3 linked regions of the Kluyveromyces lactis genome follow. The protein of the gene in region 1 binds, or shares a complex with, the protein of each later gene. Links are inferred from orthologs where the notes say so. Each region holds a gene or a part of one and is shown in the gene's direction. Other genes may lie near its edges.

The links.
Region 2: SNP1 (region 1) and MUD1 share a complex: the UniProt entries of both Saccharomyces cerevisiae proteins name them as parts of the spliceosome. The link is inferred for Kluyveromyces lactis from reciprocal best matches to the Saccharomyces cerevisiae genes SNP1 and MUD1.
Region 3: SNP1 (region 1) and RDS3 share a complex: the UniProt entries of both Saccharomyces cerevisiae proteins name them as parts of the spliceosome. The link is inferred for Kluyveromyces lactis from reciprocal best matches to the Saccharomyces cerevisiae genes SNP1 and RDS3.

What each region holds. Positions count from the first base shown.
Region 1 is NC_006039.1:703,664-706,409, reverse strand, and holds SNP1 (U1 snRNP complex subunit SNP1), read left to right. Parts: upstream 1-1,305; coding exon 1,306-2,211; downstream 2,212-2,746. Other genes in the region: CCR4-NOT core ubiquitin-protein ligase subunit MOT2, read left to right, coding at 1-894. UniProt on the Saccharomyces cerevisiae protein: Involved in nuclear mRNA splicing.
Region 2 is NC_006038.1:785,562-788,534, reverse strand, and holds MUD1 (Mud1p), read left to right. Parts: upstream 1-1,495; coding exon 1,496-2,413; downstream 2,414-2,973. Other genes in the region: TEF2 (translation elongation factor EF-1 alpha), read left to right, coding at 1-1,038; CBP6 (Cbp6p), read right to left, coding at 2,657-2,973. UniProt on the Saccharomyces cerevisiae protein: Involved in nuclear mRNA splicing. The principal role of the U1A is to help fold or maintain U1 RNA in an active configuration. It is the first snRNP to interact with pre-mRNA.
Region 3 is NC_006039.1:1,359,059-1,361,377, reverse strand, and holds RDS3 (U2 snRNP complex subunit RDS3), read left to right. Parts: upstream 1-1,362; coding exon 1,363-1,698; downstream 1,699-2,319. Other genes in the region: twinfilin TWF1, read left to right, coding at 1-50; ubiquitin-protein ligase ASR1, read right to left, coding at 175-1,089; Arf family guanine nucleotide exchange factor SYT1, read right to left, coding at 1,911-2,319. UniProt on the Saccharomyces cerevisiae protein: Required for pre-mRNA splicing. Involved in regulation of drug sensitivity and may play a role in multidrug resistance.

The sequences.
Region 1 (2,746 bases):
TCACATGCACCACCTACACTTGCTAAACCGTCTACAAGTGCAAGCTCTACGCCAAAGCTTGCTCATGCTTCATTGAGAACAGATGACTCTACTGTGCCAGCAGCTGCAACTTCAAGCTCGAAGCAAACCGCTCCTGTGCTAACACCAGCTCCAGTTCCATCTGGTTCAAACCCATGGGGTATATCTCAAGCACCCACACCAGTTTCTACTATTTTCAACAAGACTTCTACTTCTACCACTTTCCCTACGTTGTCAAGCTCCTTGGGGGAAACTCTGAACAGTCCAGGTCCAGGCACTCCTACGACCACTGGATCTGCCCCAACAGCAAACTCTTCTTCTAACGTAAGTTCGAAGAAGAAGGGCGAAAAGACATACGAGGATCCTTACGATCCAATGGCAACATGTGTTAAGTTCCTAGATCAAACTTTTAAGTTTTTATCAGATATTCCTGAAAGAAGCTACACATTCAACTCCAACTTATTGGATGACGAAACATATCAAAGTTACCCATCACTTTTTTCATTTGAGAAGATTGGATGTAGTGAGCAATCTGAAGGTGTCTTGGGTGCCAAACTATGTGATTTGCTTACTATAAAACCTGTGGACCACATGTCCTCTCTTCTGCCATTCATTCAAAACAAGGCTACACCTACCATGTTACCACCGGGAATTGCTGTCCAGCAACCACAATTAGTACAACAGCAGAAGCAGCAGCTACAGCAACAGCAATTACAGCAACAGCAACAACAGCTTTCACTGCAAATGCAACTACAAGCCCAACAAGGCATGGCGCAGCAAGGCATGGCGCAGCAAGTTATGAGCCAGCCACAAAGCAATTCTTCCGATCTACTAAATCAATTAATTCACGGTAAGAAACAGACTGCTGCCGTATAATCAGTACTCAGTATGATTCCAATAATATTTCTTTTACGAAGTTAGCATATAAATAAATATATATATTCATGTACATTCATTTATTTTTCAATATAAACCGTTCCAGGTTGTTAGATAAACAACTGTTTCAATTTCATTTTTCCAAATCAGACCTTGTAATCTACTGTCTTTCTGGGTTCTTCTTTCTGTCAAAGGCATTCACATTAAAATACATATTTTGACACACTCTTTTTAAGGTTTTTCCATCAATTATGTGAAAATTGTAACATTTAACATCTAAATAGTAAAGATGCGCCAAAAATATGGAATATAATTACATACACTTTACCTCAGCGCATACACCTTAACCTCGATACTGCGGTAAGCGCATCAATAAAGATAATATTGGCACATATCCATTCCAATTAATAGATGAAACCACAAACGAGGAAATACAACAGGCATAATGGCTTTCACACTTTGACCAAACTTCCGTCTTCAGTATCAAAGTTATTTACACAAGGTCCACCATTACCACCATCGAGAGTGAGAGTAAGGCGAAACCAGAACAAGAAATATGCACTCACTGGTGTATCAGCCGTGTTGCAACATGTTTCAGAGTATAAGAAGGCAACCCATCCCGTATCAGAGAACCAACACTTGAAAGTATATGATGAAGCCATGAACGAATCGCACAAAGAACAGGAGGAGTTGATGAAGAAAATACAAGAGTGGCACCCTGAATCAGATGCAAACATTTCTAGTGACCCCTACCGCACATTATTTGTCGGACGGTTACACTATGCCGTAGACGAAGTTGAACTACAGAAGAGTTTCGTCAAATACGGCGACATTGAATCGTGCAGAATAGTAAGAGACCAAGACGGTAAGAGCCGAGGATACGGTTTTGTGCAGTTTACCAGTTATGAAGACTCCAAACAGTGTTTCAGAGAGCTTGGTGTAAGGAAGGGAATAGAAATCATGGGCCGAACATCCATCGTTGATATAGAAAGAGGCAGAACGGTGAAATTCTTCAAACCTCGACGTCTAGGTGGAGGATTAGGAGGACGAGGTTACCAAAGGAAAGATCTCGTAAATAAATTAACTGGTGCTTCAACAAGACCGATGCATGAACATGCTAGAAGACCCATCAGAAGACACGATACCTTCGAAAGAAGAGGTCCTCCACAAGGGCATTCCCATTCTTATCAACCAACTAGTCCAATATCCTCACCTGCATCAAATTTCCAAAAAACTGCAAGTTCTAGCTACCGATCAAGGAGGGACAGATCTCGCAATGATACTTCCAATGGTTCTACAGACACATTGATGTATTGAGATGAGATAAAAAGACACATCAAATAGCACGTGATCAGAACTGCTGCAGTGATCTATATACATTTTCATATATATTCATATAAGTAGCCATACAGATGAGCCATGGCTAAATGTTATATGTACTTCCTACCATTTCTACCTCTGTTCTCATATCTACGCAGTTCTCCTACATTGTGCCCACTGGCCAAGCATAACTGAACCACTACCTCTGTATGCATGAGTAATTTCTTGATCGATGACTGATTCCAAAATAACGATGGAAAAAATTATTCCAGTCAAACAAAAAAAAAAAAAAAAATGGCAACTCAGCGAATCGCACATATAAAGAAAACCGTTTTCAGTTTCCCATTCGCTAAGTATTTCCATTAGGTATCTAAAGTATGAGTTAACTCGTAAAGTACTGAACAGCATTATTGTCTAATCGAAGTTAAGACCAGCTCTATCCATCTGCAGGACAAATTAAAGGGTTTGCAGGAAAGTGTTGATACCTGCCTTTTCAGTGATAGTGAGCCAAGCCAACTGTTTTATCTTCTTT
Region 2 (2,973 bases), on another chromosome or scaffold:
TTGATTATTGCTGGTGGTGTCGGTGAATTCGAAGCCGGTATCTCCAAGGATGGTCAAACCAGAGAACACGCTTTGTTGGCTTTCACCTTGGGTGTTAGACAATTGATTGTTGCTGTTAACAAGATGGATTCCGTTAAGTGGGATGAATCTCGTTTCCAAGAAATTGTCAAGGAAACCTCTAACTTCATCAAGAAGGTCGGTTACAACCCAAAGACTGTTCCATTCGTCCCAATCTCTGGTTGGAACGGTGACAACATGATTGAAGCCACCACCAATGCTTCATGGTACAAGGGTTGGGAAAAGGAAACCAAGTCCGGTGTCGTCAAGGGTAAGACCTTGTTGGAAGCTATTGACGCTATCGAACCACCATCCAGACCAACTGACAAGCCATTGAGATTGCCATTGCAAGATGTCTACAAGATTGGTGGTATCGGAACTGTGCCAGTCGGTAGAGTCGAAACCGGTGTTATCAAGCCAGGTATGATTGTTACCTTCGCCCCAGCCGGTGTTACTACTGAAGTTAAGTCCGTCGAAATGCACCACGAACAATTGGAAGAAGGTCTACCAGGTGACAACGTCGGTTTCAACGTCAAGAACGTTTCCGTTAAGGAAATCAGAAGAGGTAACGTCTGTGGTGACTCCAAGAACGATCCACCAAAGGCTGCTGCTTCTTTCAACGCCACTGTTATCGTCTTGAACCATCCAGGTCAAATCTCTGCTGGTTACTCTCCAGTTTTGGATTGTCACACTGCTCACATTGCTTGTAAGTTCGACGAATTGTTGGAAAAGAACGACAGAAGATCCGGTAAGAAGTTGGAAGACTCTCCAAAGTTCTTGAAGTCCGGTGATGCTGCTTTGGTTAAGTTCGTTCCATCTAAGCCAATGTGTGTTGAAGCCTTCTCTGACTACCCACCTCTAGGTAGATTCGCTGTCAGAGACATGAGACAAACCGTCGCTGTCGGTGTTATCAAGTCCGTTGACAAGACTGACAAGGCCGGTAAGGTCACCAAGGCCGCTGTCAAGGCTGGTAAGAAATAAGTTTAACTTGATACTACTAGATTTTTTCTCTTCATTTATAAAATTTTTGGTTATAATTGAAGCTTTAGAAGTATGAAAAAATCCTTTTTTTTCATTCTTTGCAACCAAAATAAGAAGCTTCTTTTATTCATTGAAATGATGAATATAAACCTAACAAAAGAAAAAGACTCGAATATCAAACATTAAAAAAAAATAAAAGAGGTTATCTGTTTTCCCATTTAGTTGGAGTTTGCATTTTCTAATAGATAGAACTCTCAATTAATGTGGATTTAGTTTCTCTGTTCGTTTTTTTTTGTTTTGTTCTCACTGTATTTACATTTCTATTTAGTATTTAGTTATTCATATAATCTTAACTTAACGTAACAACAACTTTCATTGTCAACAAATTTACTAATACTAATACGTATGGACTATTTGTTAATAGGTTGTGATATCCTTCTCTATTAGGTTATTACACATGCCATACAAAGCTAGTATCTATCGGCAAGCAATGGTCAGTACCTTATATCTGTCGAATCTACCGTCGAGGCCCGACTCATTGTCCAAATTCAGAGCCTTACTACTATCAAGTGTTAATTCAGATCATCGTTCTATTTCAAATGATGTTAGTACAAGATTCGATCTGAACTCGAAGAAAGAAACTAGTGAGGCTGATGCGGTTACACCAGTACTCGATGAAAAGTATCAGATCATAGAGGTATCAAGGTATGGCTCAAGACCCTTGAGGAGGTCTTGTTTCGTCACTTTTAAGGACTCAGACAGTTGTAATACGTTCCTTATAGAATTTCAAGGCAAGCTCAAGATTAATGGGAGAAAGATAAATATAAAGCTGGCGAATACGGATTCTTTCGCAGCTTTGTACTACCAGGGACAACAGAAACAGCTACAGGATGAACTTCGGTTACGTACACGTAAAGCTGTGGATAATTCACAGCCCAAGACCAAGACAAAAAACGAAGTGTTGAAAAGAAGGTTAAGAAGAGCTAGAAGTAAGCTTAGAAAGAAGGATTTGGACGAAGAAACCATACAGAAGCTTCTTTCAAAGCCCAGAAAAACAAATCCTGAAGGTACCAACAAGACTGCTATGTCACAGCAGTCGGAGAAAGTTTCCTCCACTAAAAAAGTCTTTGACATTGTCGGAAATCCCCCTCACCATGTCCTATTGGTTCAAAATCTTCCAAAAGATGTTACTCAGCAAGAATTGGAAAAGTTATTTGTCTCAGATGGATTTAAAGAGGTTAGATTGGTCAGTGTCAGAAATCTTTGCTTTGTTGAATATGATTCTACAGCAAATGCCACTAAAGTTGTTGAAACCTTAGGTCATGATCATCCATTCAAGAATGTAACGATAAAGATTGGATACGCCAAGAAATGATTCTACATTTCAATGCGAATCAATAAATTCAAAGCGTTCACAGGTCGGAACTGGAACCAACAATCTACGCTTTAATAGTACATTTATCAGCAACAGATAAACAGAATAAATAGAATAGATTGAATATAAATTATTTACAGTCAGTGTATGGAGGCCTGTACAGTACAGATACACTAGAAACGAAAAAGACAGAAATGATATATACATATATGCATACGAAGCTCTAAAACCCTGAAACCGAAATTACTTACCAAATACGACAGTTCTCATAGCTGTAAAGAAAGTTTCCTTACCCTTACCTTCGATTTCGTCATGCAATCTTTTGTAATAAATTGGGTTACCTGCTGGCTTGTATAATTTGTCCCCTACAGCATAATAATTCTTATATTTATCGCTCATTATAGCATTCAACGATCTTATCTGTTCTTGGATTTGAGTATCGTTGAAATGTTCTTCTGGTAAAGCCTCTTGAACTTTCTTTAATAGATCTTTCTTCAAACCTAATGGGCCAGAAGTTCTGTTGATAATATCCTTAATCTCTGCAAGAGAAGGCTTACTTT
Region 3 (2,319 bases), about 660 kb from region 1:
CTGCCAAACCAAAATTCAATAAACCTAAGGCACCTTCTAGAAGAAGATAAGCTTTATATTTCGTGATATAGAATACCATTGCTGATGGGACTAGCATTCTGTTTCGAATGGTAACTTTCAATATGCACAGGCAGAATTATTATTTACCAAAAAGATATCAAAATATATTAACAATTACATAACTTCCCTGATGGAGAGCCTAGCCTGCTCCTCGTAATTTATCCTGCTGGGATCGAACCCAGTTGAAGATAACCCATATAACTTCCGTGACACCATTTTGTTTATGGCGATGTATCGATCCTTCGATAAAGATCCGCGGTGGTAGAATTTATCCAACTCTGTTCGTACGTATCCTTGTATCCTGCATTTGTCCTCGTAACTGATGGTGTAAGGTTGTGCGAATCTATTGTAAATGCATTCAGTAAGAATACTTCGCTTATCTCTCATCCTTCCATCGTAAATTCTCACGTTCGAATCTCGTATTACCATTGAAGATACTTTGTTCCCACGTAGTCTACAAAGAGTACCATCACACTCTATGCAACACCATTCTTTCTCACCGACTTCGCACAATAACTCATTCAGGCATGAAGAGTGGAATAACGTCTCACATGATTCACAGTATAACGTTATGTCATCATCAATTTCACCGCATAAGGCACATTGCAAGAGCTCTACTCCCTGCATGCCATTATTATTCTGTGGCTGATGTCCGATCTCTTCCGATTGTAGTGTATCCTGGTCACCATTGCCATTAGGATCTTCTTCCTCTTCCTCTTCTTCTTCTTCTTCTTCCTCTTCCTCTTCTATCGCTGCTACTGCTTCTTGCTCATCATCATTCAGTAATCGAAGCTTGGCAAACTGCTCGATCAACGACACATTACACCAGTACTTCAAATCAATCTCGATATCATCATGTTTACGGCGAAGGCTTTTGGACTCTTTTCTGCATGTAGGACACTTAAAATCGTTCGAATATAAGTGCCACTTCCTAATACAAGAAACATGATATCTATGCTCACAGGGTAAAAGCTCCCCTTGATCAGTTTCATTCATAGATTCCAAACAAATACCACATATTTCAATCATCTTGTGATATATAATGTAGTTGCTCGGAGGGTCATATAATATGAACGGTTTCCAAACCTACTTTTCTTCGTTTTTTTGGCCTATCCTGTAGATCAGTTCCTGTTTAAATCAACGGCTGCCACTTAAGCCCATCTTCTATAAAATTGTACCTTAGATATCAAAACTAAAAGAACCCACATATTAAAACAAAGAACAGAAAACTAAGTGTTTTTCCCCATACACCGTCAGGTCTTATTAATCTATTTATATTACTATTATTATCACTGGATTAAGATGTCTCGCCATCAGTACGACTTGGTTATGTGCATGAAACTTCCTGGAACCTCTGTAGGGAAGGTTTGTGATAGATGTGATGGAAGATGTCCCTTATGTGATTCAGATGTAAGGCTAATTTCTAAGGTACGGATATGCGACTCTTGCTCCTCTGGAAGTAGTGGAAGCAGGTGTATAATTTGCGGAAGTCCTGGAACGCATGAAGCGTTATATTGTTGGGACTGCCACAGATCTGAACGAAGCCGAGATGGCTGTCCCAGAATTTTGAATGTGGGTAGCAATAAGACGGACAGGTTATATAACAAAAAGACGGCGGATACCGGCAAAGGAGTATAGGATATCGATTTCTATCTTAAGGAACTATAATTTGTTATTTTACTGTTCATACGCTGATACAGTGTTGTATATTTACATGCATGAATTCTTAATTTCCATCGTTTCCAATTTATGGCATTCTGAGAATGATACTTTTAAAGTTTTAGTCGGTAAAAACATTGAACCATCGCTCAATCTATTTCCGAGATCGAAGCTTGGCCAAAACTTTTTGATTATTGGTTAAATAAGAAACTCTCTTCGATGGAATTGGCTTCGTATCGATTATATTCACTTGGATTTGGTTCCAGACCAAATACAAGCTTCAAGAGTTTAACGTATATATCAAGTCTTTCGTTTTGATATGAGACCATTTCTATTCTTTTTATTATACCATTGACATGATCGATTAAGTTTGATCTAGTCTTTGTTGATAAGGGTACCGTGTCAAGGTATATGTTAAGCTGTGAGTGTAGCGAATACCATTTCGACATATTCTGTTCATGGTTACTTTTCAGCTTTAGTATTTTATCTTCTACTGATGTCCTTCTTTGTACCACAAATGTATTACGCAGTCCGGCGATTTCTATTTCACATCCATCGATGCTGCCGGAGAAATAAATAGAGTTTTTCCAGGCTAATGCC